Linked DNA regions of Drosophila melanogaster. The protein of the gene in region 2 purifies or fractionates together with the protein of the main gene of each other region. This does not show direct contact. Each region holds a gene or a part of one and is shown on either strand. Other genes may lie near its edges.

Region 1 (3,751 bases), on a different chromosome or scaffold from region 2:
ACTTCTGAAGGAAACTGAGCGAATTATAGTGCTTCCAACGCGATGTGGCATCTATGTGCATCAGTGTCCTCAATCGCTTGTGTTCGCGTGCGTATTGGTCCCTTAAAGCCTTCCACTTCAGTCGACACTGTTTCACTAAAATAGTTAATGCTTGAAAAATCATCTTCATCCTTCGGCTGTTTAAGTTTATCAACCACATACCCGACTTCTTTAGTTTTCTGGCGATTTCCTCCCACACCTCCATCTTGAGCTTGGCATTGCGATAGTTCTCGTTGCCGTAGTTGTAGATCATGTCTTCCTGCTGGATCAGCGTGATCAGTTCCTTTTCGAAGTAGCTCTCCATGTTGAGAAATGTGTGTATGGGATCGTCGTCCTCCTCCTCGGCGTTCGTCGATTGATTGTGCGCTGCTGAAGTGGTGGATACATTAGACGTGATTGTTGCTGCCGAGCTCGACTGATTGGCGGCATTGACGCAGTCCACTATTTCGTTGTAGAGAGTGTCTACCACCGTGGTTGTGTTGGCGGTTCCACACTGCACTATGATTGATGGAGTAGCACCGCCTCCCGCATCCGTCAGATAGTTCCAGTTCGCTTCCGGCTGCGAGTGCATTTGTTGCTGATGCTGCTGTTGCTGCTGCTGCTGCTGCAGCACGGCTCCAATATGGCTTGCCAAGAAAGTGGCTGCCGGCTTCTTATCAGTTGAACTAGGCGAACTGAAGCTGCAGCTGTCGAGCAGCGTGGATGCACTGGCATCCTCAATTTTAATGCTGCCGGAAAGGTTTAGATTCTGGCTACTGCTGTTGCTGCTGAAGGAAGTAGTCATGGGCAGCGATAAGGGGGTCACCGTACCCACGGCGCCATTGGAAGTCTGACCAGATCTCCCTCTGTAACTAAAGAATTGTGGGTTTAATTAAATACGGACATATCATTTGGAAGCCTGAAGAACAGAACTAGTGATAGATAGCTCCATATGCTGTATAGTCTGCATTGGCAGTCAGCATGGCGGTGCCAACTTGAATTGCTCCACGTGCTACTTACTTTCTTGCCAGCGCATATGGACGCAGGAAATCCAGCTCTTTGAAATACTTCCACTTCACTGCTTTTGAGCAGGCCTTGGCGCGCTTCAGCTCCCGGCAGTACTGATCCCTCATGGCCTTCCACTTGGACTTGCACTGGACGTCTGTGGAAATGGGATTAAGTGCCAACTTTTTGGTGGGGAAACTTAAACGTTCACTTACCGGACCAACCCACATTGCTGCCAATCTCCAGCCATTTCTCGTCCTTGATCTTGGTGCTGCGGTAGTGGGGATGCTTGGGATTGTATAGCGACTGCTCCTGGGAGACCAGCGAAATGAGGATCAGCTCCTTGGGAATGCTGACCACATTCTCACCCAGACTAGGATCTATGCTGAGATTCACGTGCTGCTGCTGCGGCTGCTGGTGCTCCTGCAGCTGGTTGGCACATGGCAGCGTCTCCATGGCGCTCCCTACTTGGTGTCCATGCTGGCGGTGTGTTAATATGGGCAATTGTTATAAATAAAAACAGGGAAAACAAAAATGAGGTGACCGAACAGCTGATCCTGGAGAGTTGTGTAATTAGAGGGACCAGTTTCGCCTTGGCTATACAAGCATCTTTTTTACATTGAGTGGAACATCTGGTGGCCACCGACCTGGTCACCCTGAACAGTCCAGTGCTGCAAGAGGCGCACACCATTTCGATAAGTTGGCAGCCCGCTCATATGTTCGATTTTAAAATTTTGGCGCCAAAAAATCGTCTTTCTATACATTTGTATTTAACGGCTAATCCAATTAGCTAATTGCATTACCGCTAAGGAAAAAAGAAAACATCATAACATTCAGGCAAAACAAATTGTTTAACTCTCAGTTTATTGTGCGACGCAGTGCGGTTCAAAACTAGAAACTTTCTTCTGGCAAATATTGCAGCCGTCCTTATATAATTAATGCTCCATAATGCCGAAAATTGACCCAGAAACACAAAAACTCTACGACGAAATCAATGGCATGATACAGAAGTTTAAGGTGAATTAAATAAACTCAACGTACAGCGAAGTAAATTAAAAATATCAGATAATAAATATAGCAACAACAAAAGTAACATAAAAAAGTTTTCCCCATATAAAATAACAATACTCTAAAAATACCGATAGCCAGCTTAAAAAGAAATTCGTTGTCCTTAATTTAATTTTAACAAAAAAATATTAATATAACTTTTTGGAATATGTATGATAATATGATTGGGTTTTAAATATCTTGCCAGATTTCATACTTCAGTGCTAACTACTCCCATAATATTTCATCTCGATAATAGTCGAACACATTATTTCCAATTTTGAAAAAATTAAGTGACTTAACTTAATCGAAAACTGTATGCGTCTCTAACATTTATTCTGGAAATTCTTGTAATAAAAATTGTCATTCATTACTATGATTTTGCTTTCAGGATGACCAAAAAAGCAAGGCTGATTGCACGTTGGCCGATAAATGCGGCGACATGGGGGATGTGCCCAAGATTCGATTCTCATCCAAGAAGATTCTCAAGGGCCACATCAACAAGGTGAATTCGGTGCATTTTGCCGGGGACTCGCGGCACTGCGTCACTGGATCGCTGGACGGCAAGCTGATCATCTGGGACACCTGGACCGCCAACAAGGTGCAGATCATCCCCTTGAGATCCGCCTGGGTAATGACGGTGGCCTTTTCGCCGTCGGGTAACTTTGTGGCCTGCGGAGGAATGGACAACCAGTGCACCGTCTACGATGTGAACAATCGCGATGCCTCCGGAGTGGCCAAGATGGTCAAAGAGCTGATGGGCTACGAGGGATTCCTCAGCTCCTGTCGCTTCCTCGACGATGGCCATCTGATCACCGGCTCGGGAGATATGAAAATGTAGGGCTTTGCTTAACTTTTTGGAGTAAAATCTAAGTTTCCTATGACCAACAGATGCCATTGGGATCTGGAGAAGGGTGTCAAGACAATGGATTTCAATGGACACGCTGGTGATATCGCTGGCTTATCGCTTTCGCCAGATATGAAGACCTATATCACTGGCTCTGTGGACAAAACTGCCAAGTTGTGGGATGTGCGAGAGGAGGGCCACAAGCAGATGTTCTTCGGTCACGACATGGACGTGTCATCCGTCTGCGTGAGTACACATATATGTTTTAATAATAATAGCTTATATTAATTACCAAGAACAACTATAAGCAGCTAATCTATTTAGTACTTGTAATTTAATACAAATGTATTCATTACACCCACCCAATTATCATTATCGGTTGCAGTACCATCCCAGTGGCTTCGGGTTCGCCTCCTGCTCGGAGGACCAAACGGCGCGCATGTACGACCTGCGGGCGGACCAGCAAATCGCCCAGTATGAACCGCCCCAGAAGAACACTGGCTTCACGTCGTGCGGTGGGTTCTCGTTCTCCGTCTTGGTGGAACACGGTCGCCTTGACTTTTGACGGGTTTTTAATCTGATTTTGTGTCCCCACCAGCTCTATCGACCAGCGGGCGCTACCTCATGTGCGGCGGCATTGAGGGCAACGTGCACTCGTGGGACACGATGAAGCAGCGGCACACGGGTGGGTATTGGGAATTGGGTAGTTCGTATTGGGTATTGGATATCCATTGCACTTGGGGGATTCGGTGATAAAGAACGGGGAAATGGAGGCGAAGCTAATGCTCAGGCTGGCACTTGACTTACATCGATTTGCTGACCTTCTTCTCCACT
Region 2 (3,751 bases):
TACCACAGAAAAAAGAACTCGAAATGCAGAAGCGATAAGGAAAGTACATCGGGACATTGCGAGGGTCGCCCTTGAAAAGCGGGGGAAAGTTACGCTTTTGGGGAAAAACTATTTTTAACGACTCGCATTTGTCAGCTGCAAATGGAAACGGGAATTTATTGCCAGGCAATCACGCTGATTTATGGTGATTTCAAAATGGTTTCACTAATTGGTTTGCGTTCTTTTCCAATGTTCGTGCTATAAAAATACAGATTTTGAGTTCGAGTACCGCAAATAGTTTTCTGTTAATTTTGGAAATAGGTTTCATGAATTATGGGGAATTTTCCTGTGCATCACATCTCTGATGTTATTCCGACATTTTGCATAAAACGTACAGTATTTTGGAAGTAGTGTGCAAGTGATTAATAAATAAATATCTTGAATTAATGTTTATATCAGCTCTGAAAACTTTACGTAAATATAAAATGTATGATTTTAGAAGTCAAAATAATCAGTGAACACGCATGGCAGTGAGTCATCACTATTGTGAATGCCCAATATATTTTTGTGTGAGCAATAGATGTTACTTCCGGATATCTTGGTAAATGCAAAAATAACAAGCTGACTTATGTCTACTAAGTCATTGATAAATTGTCAGAGGTTAACTAAAAAATAAACAAATTATTAATGATCCAACAATTCCACCGATTATCTCGATAACTTTTCATTTATTTACCAACCTGCCCTCTTTAGCGGGTCAAATGATGGACGGGAACAGCGAGACAATAAATAATGAGCTATAAATATTCATATAGTGCATTGTTGGGCTGATTGCTTGCATGTGTGCATCTGTGCATGGGTATTTATGCATTTAAAAAGCAAAGAAGGAGGACCTACTGATAAGCATTTCCCGATTGCTTTCACTTTTTAATCGATTGGCGTGGGGTGACAGGGATGGCGCGAGTCCTGCGGCATTAATGCAATTAATCGCCAGGAGAGACAAGGCCAACGTGTGTGTAATTTACAGTTACCGTTAAGTGCTTAAGTGCAAAGGAGGGGAACAGCCAGTGAGTTGTGACCACCGAGGAGCAGTAGAAAATAAGGTGATTTCAAGCTGATTAATGAGACTTACCTGTTTGTTTGATGTGCTATTTAAAGCTTCACTGTGAGTTTCGGCTGGTTGGAATTTTCGCAACAAATGTGTGGGTTCTGATAAGAAAGCGGGCGTTGATAAGACGCTTTTCCTTCTCTCTCTCTCTACCACTCCTTTCGCACACCACTGCAATTGCAGCATAAACAATTTGAAAGAACAAGAAGAAGCAGCGACACGCCTAGTGGGCAATTTTCCGGCCTTTTCGTTGGGAAATCTGCGTTTTTTTGGCTTTGCGCTCTTTTTTGACTTTGCCTTTTGGCTTTGCGCAAGAATACTCTTTGATTTTTTGTTTTTCTTTTCAATTTGACCGCATTTGTCGATTTTGGTTTTCTTTTCGGTTGTTGTTGCGGCTCTCACCAAAATTCACACACACAGGCGCGCTCTCACACATGCACAGATGGGCGGGCACACAGAACACACACACGCACACTACGACACACGCGGCGTTTCGTTGACGGAAAAGATACGAAAAATACGGCGTGAAATTCCCAGCTTTTTTCGAAAAGGCTCGCAAAACAAGGGCTCGACGCTCTTGCGGTTTTCCGGTTGGAGGAGTGGCTTTTCTAAGACGACACACGACGACGTTCGCAACTGGGCTTTCTGCAAGTGCCCAAAATTAACGATGGATCCGCGAATTGCCTGCTCGAAAAATATTGGAGTCTTCTGTAAGACCGTCGTTGAGTTAGTGAAAGACGTCTTCGACTCGCGGTAAAAAACTCTAAACGCGTAAAAAGACGGACTAATTTTGGCGGACTGTGTAGTGCTGATGCCTCAGCTATTTTCTAGCTAGCTTGAATTACTTAGATCTGGCGATTTGGACATCGTCGCGTCATTCTGTTGGTCGTTTTAGGACCTTTCAGAACATACCGTCTTAATTCTTCGTTTCTGAAAAGGAATTTAAATGCTGTTTCTTGCATGCTGTAACTAACATTGCTAAGAGTTGGCAGCACTGCAAATTTGACATTATCGGGGACACAAGCTAATAGTTCATTTTCTGGGAACCCTTCTAAATATCTTATTGGAAACGAAATTAATTTTTTTAAAATACGCTGTATTAATATTTACTACATTATTCCTAAGACATAATCCGTGTAATAGTTTGTCTATATAATTCATTTGTTGTTACCCTTGCCAGGTGGCAACGCCGAACGCACACATGTTGCACACTCTACTTTGTTTTAAATGGGCATTCTAGTTTTGAGATAACTGAATTAAACAATACAAATAGTTGAGGCGCTCTAAGTCTAACTTCCAAGTCTCAAGAAACGTACAGGGCTTTTATTGTAAGATTTTGACCACTAATTATTTCTTAAATAACCATGAAAATACAGCGTACAGAACTGTCGCCTCAGCCGGAATCACCCGGCACTTTTAGGTAATGGCCATGATTTTCACACGGAAATCGCTGAAGCTGCTCAACTATCGCCTCAAATGCCTAAGTTTGTCCTGCCCAGGAGGAAGGAGAGGAATCCAAAGCAGTTCCAACGGAGAAGCGCCCTCCGTGGAAGTCAACTTCAGCAATGGGTGAGTTCGTGGCCTCCACTCCGAGTTCCAATAGCAAAGTCTTGAATCCTCCGCAGACGTAACATGACCTTCAGTTCCGGCCGCCTGGCGAGATTTGCGAATGGAACAGCTGTGTGCCAAATGGGCGATACCGCCGTCATGGTCACCGCGGTGGCCAAGGCGAAGCCAAATCCCGGCCAGGGATTCATGCCTCTGGTGGTTGACTACCGACTGAAAAACGCCGCCTCTGGCAGAATACCCATGAACTTTATGCGCCGCGAACTGGGCCCCTCGGAAAAAGAGATCCTGTCCGCCCGCCTTATCGACCGTTCGCTACGCCCGCTCTTCCACAAAGATTATCGCACGGAGACACAGCTGGTGTGCAACATGTTGGCTATGGACGCGGTGCACAGTCCGGATGTGCTTGCAATCAATGCCGCTTCCATGGCGCTATCTCTAAGTGACATTCCCTGGAATGGACCCATTGGAGCTGTGCGGTGAGTACTCACGAACGAATCTAACTGGTAACCGCTTATAACTCTTTTAATCCTACAAAGCGTTGGCCTCTGCGACGGCGAGGTGCTGATCAACCCCACGCGCCGGGAGCTGCAGACTTCGCAACTGGATTTGGTAGTCTCCGCCACCAAACAAAACCTCGTCGTTATGTTGGAGGGCAAGGGGAATGTGGTTCTTCAGCAGGACCTTCTAAAGGCTATCAAACAAGGGACTCGTGAGGCCCAATTCATTATCCACGAGATCGAGCGACTGCAGAAGGCCTATGGTCGACAGAAGCGCGAAGTGGAAGTGGCTGCCGAAGTAGATCCCGAACTGGGGAAAGCCGTTCGTAGCATGTGCGAAATGCGGCTGAGAGAGATCTTCCAGGATTCGACGCACGACAAGATGTCTCGTGACAATGCGGTTAACGAGGTGCGCTCCAACGTTATTGACAAGGTGTGGAGTTCGTTTCCGGATACCGAACCGTCGCTTATTACCGAGCAGTTCAACCAGACCAGTAGAACCATTTTTCGCGAACTGATCTTTGAGCGGGGTCTGCGTTGCGATGGACGAGATTACGACCAGCTGAGGAACATCTCCTGCCAGGTGGACATGTACAAG

The links. Proteins that work in one complex are often made in the same cells at the same time.
Region 1: the proteins of Gprk2 (region 2) and Gbeta76C purify together in Drosophila melanogaster (affinity purification with western blotting, with the first as the bait; one study listed by BioGRID). This does not show direct contact.

Annotation. Positions count from the first base shown.
Region 1 is NT_037436.4:19,685,757-19,689,507, forward strand, and holds the start of Gbeta76C (G protein beta subunit 76C), read left to right. Parts: upstream 1-1,880; 5' UTR 1,881-1,971; coding exon 1,972-2,040; intron 2,041-2,461; coding exon 2,462-2,907; intron 2,908-2,961; coding exon 2,962-3,163; intron 3,164-3,302; coding exon 3,303-3,432; intron 3,433-3,515; coding exon 3,516-3,602; intron 3,603-3,751. Other genes in the region: CG8765 (uncharacterized protein), read right to left, coding at 1-135, 202-890, 1,039-1,180, 1,239-1,479. UniProt on the Drosophila melanogaster protein: Guanine nucleotide-binding proteins (G proteins) are involved as a modulator or transducer in various transmembrane signaling systems.
Region 2 is NT_033777.3:31,403,317-31,407,067, reverse strand, and holds the start of Gprk2 (G protein-coupled receptor kinase 2), read right to left. Parts: upstream 1,824-3,751; 5' UTR 1,112-1,823; intron 1-1,111. Other genes in the region: PNPase (polynucleotide phosphorylase), read left to right, coding at 2,511-2,656, 2,713-3,132, 3,193-3,751. UniProt on the Drosophila melanogaster protein: Specifically phosphorylates the activated forms of G protein-coupled receptors. Required during oogenesis and embryogenesis; component of a signaling pathway that functions during egg chamber maturation.